2 linked regions of the Macaca fascicularis genome follow. The protein of the gene in region 1 interacts with the protein of each later gene in a pairwise test. Links are inferred from orthologs where the notes say so. Each region holds a gene or a part of one and is shown in the gene's direction. Other genes may lie near its edges.

Region 1 (5,156 bases):
AGATTGTAATTTTCATCTTTTTTTTAATATAAACTACACCCAATATATTTTCTGTGTTCTCCAGTTACAGTTTCTGTAAAGCATGAACCTAACAAAACTTCCCGAACAATCTGATTATAGAATCCTTCTAGGTTTTTCTTTCCTCCCCCTGATTTAGTAGCAACTTTTTTCTAATAATTTATCTTTATGAATTATTTCTAAAATGTTCTTATACATTTTCAAAACTTTTTTATCAATTTACACAATTTTTAATACCTTAAATAAACATTAACAAGTACAAATGGCAAACCATCTGAAAACAAGCAGCCGACAGTAAACATGCATTTAAGACAACTTCTGTTTAATTCAAATGAGCGCGTAGAGATTTCTTTTAGAAGTCATTTTATTTACAGGAGTATATATTTTCAAATTACTGAAGGCATTCTAAAGCAATTCTGAGCTGAGTTGAATGAAATTTATCATCTATGAGCAATTTTCCCACTACTCTAATTTTCTTTAGTCCCGATTTCTCTAGTCTTTCATTCACACCTGAAGCTCCAGGAGAGAATCACGGCTACTGAGAGGACACCCCTCAAGTGTGATTGGGCAGGAGGAAAGTTACAAACTCAGTTGTACTTCATTTTCCACATTTTGGCAAAGAATATTCCTGCCAGCAATTAGTTTTGTATTTTAAAATAGCATTTAAGCATCTTTAGGAGTTTGTAAAATATTTTTTGTCCCTTATTGTAATAAGTAATAAGATAAAGTTCCCCTCAGGCCAGAAGCATGAATTTAGTCCACAAAAACATATTTGTAAATATTTTTAAATCTGAGATTTTTAGTTTATCAAATTCATAAGATCCATAGAAGTTTATGGTTTAAAAAGCCAAATCATTTTTACAAGGACTGTAGTGAGAAACAGTCTTCTAAATCCCTCTCCCTAACTCTGTCAGCTATTTCTTCTGTTTCCATTTTTTCCTAAATAATATGTCTATATCATTATTTCTACATTTCTTAATTTCAAATATCTGTTAACTTATTACAGATAAAAAGGACTTGGCCTCCTTATGCCACCTTATTCCTTCTCTCTCTCTTCACTTTCCTCATCCTCCCTGTATGTAAATATTTAGTTACAGATATTCCAATTTCAGATTAAATCATTTATGATGACTAATATAGCTAAGCCATGAATGTATACTATGACTACATTTCCTTTCTGGTATAATGTTTTGTTTTAGAATTAATTGCTTCATTTTTATCTTCGGTTTTCTCTCCAACTGTAGTGAATTATTTCCGAACTCTCCAGGGATTACGGAACCCTACTGAATGCTGTTTTCCGTAGGGTCTTCCAAAAACATCAATACTCCGTCTTTTTAATTATCCCCGAGACATCTCTCCTGAAGCCCACTCTCTTCCCATTTCAATGTATAGCTGTGACTATGTGTAGCTAGGTGCAGAATCTAGCTACACACAGAATATGGAGAATCACAGATGAACTATAATAATCGGGAAAACATTGATACTTAATAAATGCCTTTGGAAAAACTGTTTAGAGAAAAAATGAATTTAGATTAATACTTCACACTGAAATTTCAAATGTTTTAATAAGTTAAGCCAAAATAAGTAAATGTTGTGAGAGTATAACTACCTCAGCTGTCCAAAGCTGATTTTGGTTTCATCATGGAAGCAAGAGGAAATTAATGACAGGATTAACCACAACTTAAAAAAATGGATGTGCATTGAAGATTAAGACAAATAAATGAAATGAGGAAATTGTTTACACTTTTAGATAAGTATCTATAATTATTAAATGAGTTTACTATTCATCAGGAACTATTTTTAAAAATTTAAATATTAATATCCTTTCAATTCTTAGCAAATAAGATGGATAGTTGACAAAATGGAATACAAATATGAAACATTAATAAGGAACCACAAATTGAATAGTAGATTTCACCTCAGACTTAAACGAGCAGGTGTGTAATTGATTGACAGTGCAAAAATAGTCCACTTATGTGTTATTCTTGCTGTAAATATTTTTCTGGAGTATCATCCAGCAGTAAGCAACAAAAGCTATAAAAGCTGATAATACTTTTTGATATGATCGTTCCATTGTTTGCAATATATTATACAGAAGTAACTAAAAAGAGGATTTTTCTTTTGCAAAATGTGCTAAATGTAATAGAAAAAGAAAGACAAAGTAGTTCGTTGGTATAAAAACCATCTCATTAAGAACTATAGCAGGTCTCTGTATTACCTCATGAAAAAAATATATTGATAAAATGAGATGGAAAAAAGGCAGAACACAGAAACATATGTGTAATGATAATATTAATTATGCTTAAGGATGAAAAAGTCCATAAAACAGATTAATGGTTGCCGGGGCTTAAGGATGGTTGGGGAAGGAACGGAGAGATGGGTATGACTGTCAAGAGTGGCCCGAGGGAGATCTTCGTGGTGATGAGTATTCTGTATCTTGATTGAGTGATAGTTAATGGGAACTTAGGTGATAAAATGACAGAGATCTATATACAGGCATTATGTCATGTTGAGCTTCCTGGTTTTGACTTTGTTATATTCTGATTATGTCAGATGTAACCATGGCAAGAAACTGGGTAAAGAGCACACAGTACTTTTCAATATGATCCCTGTGTCTTCCTGTAAATCTATCATTATTTCAAAATAAAAAGTTGATGTTTTAAGTTTCTAAAATCTTATAAAATTGTTGGCATACTCAGGTTAAAGGGATATTTTGGGGTGTTCGGTTTTGTGCTTTGCATTTTGTCTTGTGATTTTGTTTGATTTTTTCCATGTTAAAGTTGGTTGAACGTACAATTATTTTAAGTGCCTGTGTGTTTTCTTCGTAATTTATGGAATCAAATTAATAGAAGTTTTGCTGTGGATTTTCTGCCACCTCATTACTTCTTTTATTTTTTTTTTTTCTTCTTAGTATGTGCCAAGAGTTGTAACCTCTGCACAACAGAAAGCAGGAAGAACTATTACAGCCCGGATCACAGGAAGATGTGATTTTGCTTCAAAAAATAGAATTAGCAGCGGTTTAGCTATAATGGGAGTTTCTCCTCCCATGAGCTCAGTTGTTGTGGAAAAACATCATCCAGTCACAGTGGTGAGTCCACATTTGATGACCTTTTGTCAAAAAGTCTTTTTCCTGAGAGTTCACAGACTAGTAAACACTTACATAACATGTTGAGAAGATAAGAATTTATGATGACTGGTACTTGTTCTGCCTTTTCCTGATACAGTTTTTTTGTTTGTTTGTTTGTTTTTATACTTGTATTTCTCCAACCTGCTATAAATCTACCTTTCTGCTGTTGGGAAATTAATTTCAGAAACATCGTTTCTTCCAAACTGTAAAAATTATAAAATACTAAAAGTAATCCAGTGTGTTTGTGGTCAAAAGAGTAAAATATGTAAAGGATTTATTATCCGTTTAAAAAGAGACAAAAATTTTTCACTCACTGGTTCAAACAATTCTCCTGCCTCAGCCTCCCGAGTGGGTGGGATTACAGGTGCCCGCCACCACAGCCAGCTAATTTCAGGGACTGATTTTAAAAGAGAATGCCCACTCTTTCCTTGCCTAACGCAGCCATGGCTCGTGGTCCCAAGAAGCATCTGAAGCGGGTAGCAGCTCCAAAGCATTGGATACTGGATAAATTGAGTGGTGTGTTTGCTCCTCGTCCATCCACCGGTCCCCACAAGTTGAGTGTCTCCCCCTCATCATTTTCCTAAGGAACAGACTTAAGTATGCCCTGACAGGAGATGAAGTAAAAAAGATTTGCATGCAGCGGTTCATTAAGATCAATGGCAAGGTCCGAACTGATATAACCCAGCCTGCTGGATTCATGGATGTCATCAGCATTGACAAGACGGGAGAGAATTTCTGTCTGATCTGACACCAAGGGTCGCTTTGCTGTACATCGTATTACACCTGAGGAGGCCAAGTACAAGTTATGCAGAGTGAGAAAGATCTTTGTGGGCACAAAAGGAATCCCTCATCTGGTGACTCATGATGCCTGCACCATCCGCTACCCCGATCCCCTCATCAAGGTGAATGATACCATTCAGATTGATTTGGAGGCTGGCAAGATTACTGATTTCGTCAAGTTCGACACTGGTAACCTGTGTATGGTGACTGGAGGTGCTAACCTGGGAAGAACTGGTGTGACCACCAACAGAGAGAGGCACCCTGGATCTTTTGACGTTGTTCACATGAAAGATGCCAATGGCAACAGCTTTGCCACTCGACTTTCCAACATTTTTGTTATTGGCAAGGGCAACAAACCATGGATTTCTCTTCCCCGAGGAAAGGGTATCCGCCTCACCATTGCTGAAGGGAGAGACAAAAGACTGGCAGCCAAACAGAGCAGTGGGTGAAATGGGTCCCTGGGTGACATGTCAGACCTTTGTACGTAATTAAAAATATTGTGGCAGAGAAAAAAAAAAAGAGAGAGAGAATGCCCTCTATGAATTCTCAGCATTGGACAACATTCCTATGTACTTACTAAGTATTAGCAAAAACAAAAGTACGTGGAATGATTTTAAATCCTTTTTTCCTGAGTACTAGCTGGTCACTAGATGATTAAATGAAGACAAGCTGGATTGATTTGAACTGAACTTCAGGTGAAGTGGGACCTTAGCGAGGTGGAATGCTGGAGATAGAAGCACCAAGTCCAGAGAGACACATGGAGATGACGGAGGATTTATTTTAGGATTATCTTAGGTTTCATGTTTCATAAGTTGGACAGACTCTGAAAGTTCATAGAAGACTTTTCTATATATTTTTGAATATGGAAGACAAGTTACCAAAAATGAGAAGAAATGAATGCATTTCTGTTTTTTCAGATGTAGAAAATGTATAGAGATGGTGAGAGACTGTCTATTTGTGAGGTAAAGGCGTAAAGAGAGCACATACGTGTTTATTTTTTATTAGACAACCTTTTGTAATAATAAGAATTCATATTTTACAGAAGACAAAGAACTAAACATTTAGAACCCTTGTTTTTGATACTTATCTCCCATGCTGCCCTCCCTTTATTCAGTACGTGCATTCCTTCCCCACTAACTGCATATGAATCGGATAGCCATCAGCTTCCTGGATTATGTGACAGACACAGTGGCAGTCATCTGTACTGTATTTCTTTTTACCCTGGGAGTCA
Region 2 (4,511 bases), on another chromosome or scaffold:
GCTTTCTTTTCTGTAACCATTTAAAGAAATACAAAGTAATTCTACAGGTAATTCCTTGGTGGGCTTATTTGGTAATTTTTTTCTTTCTTTTCCATTTTTCTCTTACTCTTTGGTTTGTAGGAGAACCCCTTTATTCCCAGGAGGCAATTTTGAGTCCCAACATGTCCTGCATCATCTCCTGTGCCCACTGCCAAAGGAAGGCTACCAGAGCGTGGGTTTCAGCACAGCTCTGATTGGATGATAAGCAAGGAGAGTAATATGCTGCTAGGGGGTTAGAGAAAAAAAAAAAAAAAAAAAACTAGAATACCAGAATGTAGTATTTCAAATTTCCTCCCTCCAAATCAAAAGCCTTGTGAATGAAATTATGACCATCATTCAAGTGTAATTATACTGAGTATGTAAAATGGAAACACTGAAAGTAAATCATACATTTGGATATTACATTTCATATGTGAGAACATTCCAGAAACATTTTATGATTGTTGAGTGTAATGTCAGGAGACAAACTTCTACAAATTTTATACATAAATTTTTCCATTTTCTCTGTTTCCCATTTATGTCAAGTTGAACACATGGTATGACTTTTAATATTCTCTCTTCCTTCTCCTTCCCCACATTGAATGTCAAGTGATCACACTCAATCTTGATTATCCTAAATTTACCCTTAGGCTCTATCACCCCATTGTGTGTTGCAGCCAGAACAAGAGGGTTTTTAAATTAATATCAAAAGGAGAGGCCAGGCTTGGTGGCTCATGCTTATAATTCCAGCACTTTGGAAGGCTGGGGCAGGAAGATCCCTTGAGCCCAGGAGTTTCAGACCAGCCTGGGCAACATAGTGAGATTTTGTCTCTACAAAAAAAAAAAAAGATTTTTTTTAATTTAGCAGGGTGTAGTGGCATGCCCTGTAGTCTCAGCTACTATGGAGGCTGAGGTGGGAGGATCACTTGATCCTGGAAGGTGGAGGCTGCAGTAAGCCGAGTGGCACCAGTACACTCCTGTCAAAAGAGAGAGAGAGACAGAGGCTCTAAATAAACCTATAAAACTATAAAACTGGGGTCTTATGGATGCTAGCAAATATCTTGGAAAGAACTGCCAGCTCCAGTCAATTACGGAAGACCACGGCGGCTACAAGCTGTTTTCCAGCTCAGGCGTCAACTCGTGGAAACTGGGTAATACCGAGGGAACTGCGGATTCTCGCGTGAACAGGATCTCGCAGATGTGGGGGCGTAGGAAGAGTCTCCTCAGGCCCGCTCCAACCCCCAACGGACTTAGGGGTTGGCGGTGAACTACGGGTGGCCCCGCGCCGCGCCAGCTGGGGGCGCCGGAGCGCGAGCGCGGGGCGGCGCCGTTGGGATCACAGCCGAGGCGGGAGAATGGCTTCCAGCTTCAAGAAGCCCAGCGCCGCCCCCACCAGCCAAAAGAGAAAGTTGGCGCCTAAGCCCGAGCTCACTGAAGATCAGAAGCAAGAAGTTCGGGAAGCGTTTGACCTCTTTGACGCGGACGGAAGCGGGACCATCGACGTGAAGGAGCTGAAGGTGGCCATGAGAGCTCTGGGCTTCGAACCCAGGAAGGAAGAGATGAAGAAGATGATCTCCGAGGTGGACAAGGAAGGCACGGGGAAGATCAGCTTCAATGACTTCCTGGCCGTGATGACTCAGAAGATGTCCGAGAAGGACACCAAAGAAGAAATCCTGAAGGCCTTCAGGCTCTTTGATGACGATGAGACCGGGAAGATCTCGTTCAAAAACCTGAAGCGCGTGGCCAACGAGCTGGGGGAAAACCTCACGGATGAGGAGCTGCAGGAGATGATCGACGAAGCTGATCGGGACGGGGACGGCGAAGTGAATGAGGAGGAGTTCCTTCGGATCATGAAGAAGACCAACCTTTACTGAAGTCGGTTCAGAAGCTAAAGTGACTCTCTGGGTTCCCCGCTTCCATTTTGTGAAACCTTAGAGGACCGCGGTTGCCTGTCCCTTCTTCACCCCCTCACCCCCATAATTTGTCTAGATCTATTTCCATATCTCTAGTTCAATTATAGAATTTGAAAGATGCTTGTAATGTGAGTTTTGGTTTTTAATTCTCAAGAGCCTACCTGGAGCACATAAGGTTAAACAAAGGGCCCTGAAGTTTGAGTGCGCCCTCCATTTGCCCTGTGCTGAACTTGCAGAGACATCCGTTGAGCTGGAGGCAGGACAACTTCTGGGACACACAAAAATGTGATTCCCTTTGTCACTTCTTTGGTGGTCTTAAATTATCTTGCTTCATATATCATTCCTTAAATTCCAGTCATTGTTCCAGCATAATGAGATGGAATCTGCCAGTAGATTTGCCTAGCCTGTCCACTTAGCTGAATACCAGTTTGAAGGAAAACAGAGTGGCCACTTACAAACTTACTGAGCTCAGGACAGATAATCTTTTAAAGAATAGGCTTGCTTGGGTGGTAGTACGTTGTGCAATTTAGACTATTCACTGGCTTCATACGTGCAAATGATTCTTCGTTTGTGTGTAAATTGTCCACCGTGCATTTATCTAGGGCTAGTATGTATACCTGGGCTACAGAATAAAAATAAAATCTAATACTGGCCCAAGCAAAGTATAATTTGCTTAAGAGGTTATGCTAACAAATGATTTTGAGTAAATATCTACAAATGTAGGATCTTAGTTTAGGAAATTGTAGGGAATACCTTAATATAACATTTTAAGCTACTTACAGTCCTTGGAAATATCAACAAATATCTTAGATATCAGACTATTAAAACCTTAGTCATCTCATTACTGCTTGATTATAAGACACTTTCTCCCCGCCAATCCTTAGAACATCTTGTTTCTTGGTACTTGACTTTTAGCCCCTCTGACATATAGTTGATGTTAGAGTGTCTGGCGTTTAAGTAGTGCTCTACTTTACAAATCCCAGTAAACTGTTCCACTGTGGCTTGTTTATGTGTTAATACTGCTTGTTTTCTGTTATAAATTCTTTCTTGCTTTGGAGTAAGATAGCTATCATTTTGAATATCTACAAATCTGAAGGTAAAGAAAAATTTTTAAATGTAATTGTGGGAAAATAAATAGATCTGCTGAGATGGAGGCTTTGACTAGTGTTTTAATAATAGGCAACAAAACAAAAAGGCAGGATATTTTGGTCACAACTAAACCTAAATTAAATCCTCATACAAAGCCCCATTAAGATAAATGCTCAAATTCTGGGAACATTTCACTTGCTTTGCCAGCAATTTTACCCTTCAGAGGGTGTGGATCTAATCAGGGGAACAAACTACCCTGGACTTAATTCTCATTAACAGGGACTAATTTGTCAAAGGGGCAGTACTAGCTGAAGTGATGGGTATGGAAGTATTCACTGTGAGGATTTTGCTGAGGTGCCTGGCACAGGGCAGGGGAACTCACCCAGGCTGCAAGATGCTAATGGTTCAGGTTCAAGGTCTTAGTGTGGACTCAGGTGCAGTCAGGATGGGAACAGGTACAACTTGGGCCAACATCAGTATGAAGGGCCTGATCTGAGGGCGGGGGGAGGAAGGGGTATTCTGGGAAGCATGAGTTCCTGGTATCCTGTTGACCAGAGTCTTGGCCCAAGGATCAACGTATGAATTAAAAGTAGAAATACCAGAAACAAAGAAAGTTGGCAGAAACTAGGAGAAGCAGAGTCTCAGCCAACTGGACTGGGCTCAGTCTTGGCTACTGGCCCAGCAGATGATAGAAGAGAAAACCAGGAACCCAGGCTGAAGCCCAGCGGTCGGGCTGGCCACACACCTCAGGCCTTACAGGGGTGGCCTGAGGGCATGGTCCATTCCAAACAAGGAAAGGGGGCTCCAGAATATTTCTGAATCCCACTCACTGCCAGGGAAGAACCTCTCAATTCACTGAATAGTGCATTCTCCTGCCTCTCAATAGGCTCATACTCTAGAGAATATGGGGACAAGGGGAGGAGGGTCTACTGGAACAAGCCTAAACTGGCATTTAAATTTTAAGATAAGTTAATCATACATTGGCTGGGCCAGCCATGTCTCTTAGTCTTTACAAAAGTAGAACACAAAAAAATTCAATGGAAATCTGCAGACAACTATTTGCAGATGAGGAAACACGGCTATAAAGATTGGGAAGAACTGGCCAGGTGCAGTGGCTCACGCCTGTAATCCCAGCACTGTGGGAGGCCAAGGCAGGTGGATCACTTGAGATCAGGAGTTGGAGACCAGCCCGGGTAACATCGTAAAACCCTGTTTCTACTCAAATTACAAAAATTAGCAGGGCGTGGTGGTGCCCTCCTGTAATCCCAGCTACGTGGGAGGCTGAGGCAGGACAATGGCTTGAACCTGGTGATCAGAGGTTGCAGTGAGCCAAAATCATGCCACTGTACTCCAGCCTGGTTGACAGAGCAAGACTCTTTCAAAAAAAAAAAAAAAAAAAAAGAGAGAGAGAGAGATTGGCTGGTCCCAAGGCATTCCAAATTGGGACGAGGAATTTGGGCCTTTAAAACTTCTCATTGACTGTCAGTCACT

What was found.
Region 2: the proteins of POC5 (region 1) and CETN1 interact in binary tests that used the Homo sapiens proteins (3 or more experiments, as listed by UniProt). The link is inferred for Macaca fascicularis from reciprocal best matches to the Homo sapiens genes POC5 and CETN1.

The regions. Positions count from the first base shown.
Region 1 is NC_088380.1:79,687,437-79,692,592, reverse strand, and holds part of POC5 (centrosomal protein POC5), read left to right. Parts: intron 1-2,929; coding exon 2,930-3,106; intron 3,107-3,586; coding exon of another isoform or gene 3,587-3,616; exon of another isoform or gene 3,617-5,156. UniProt on the Homo sapiens protein: Essential for the assembly of the distal half of centrioles, required for centriole elongation. Acts as a negative regulator of centriole elongation.
Region 2 is NC_088392.1:69,236,582-69,241,092, forward strand, and holds CETN1 (centrin-1), read left to right. Parts: upstream 1-1,206; 5' UTR 1,207-1,373; coding exon 1,374-1,892; 3' UTR 1,893-3,080; downstream 3,081-4,511. UniProt on the Homo sapiens protein: Plays a fundamental role in microtubule-organizing center structure and function. Plays a role in sperm cilia formation.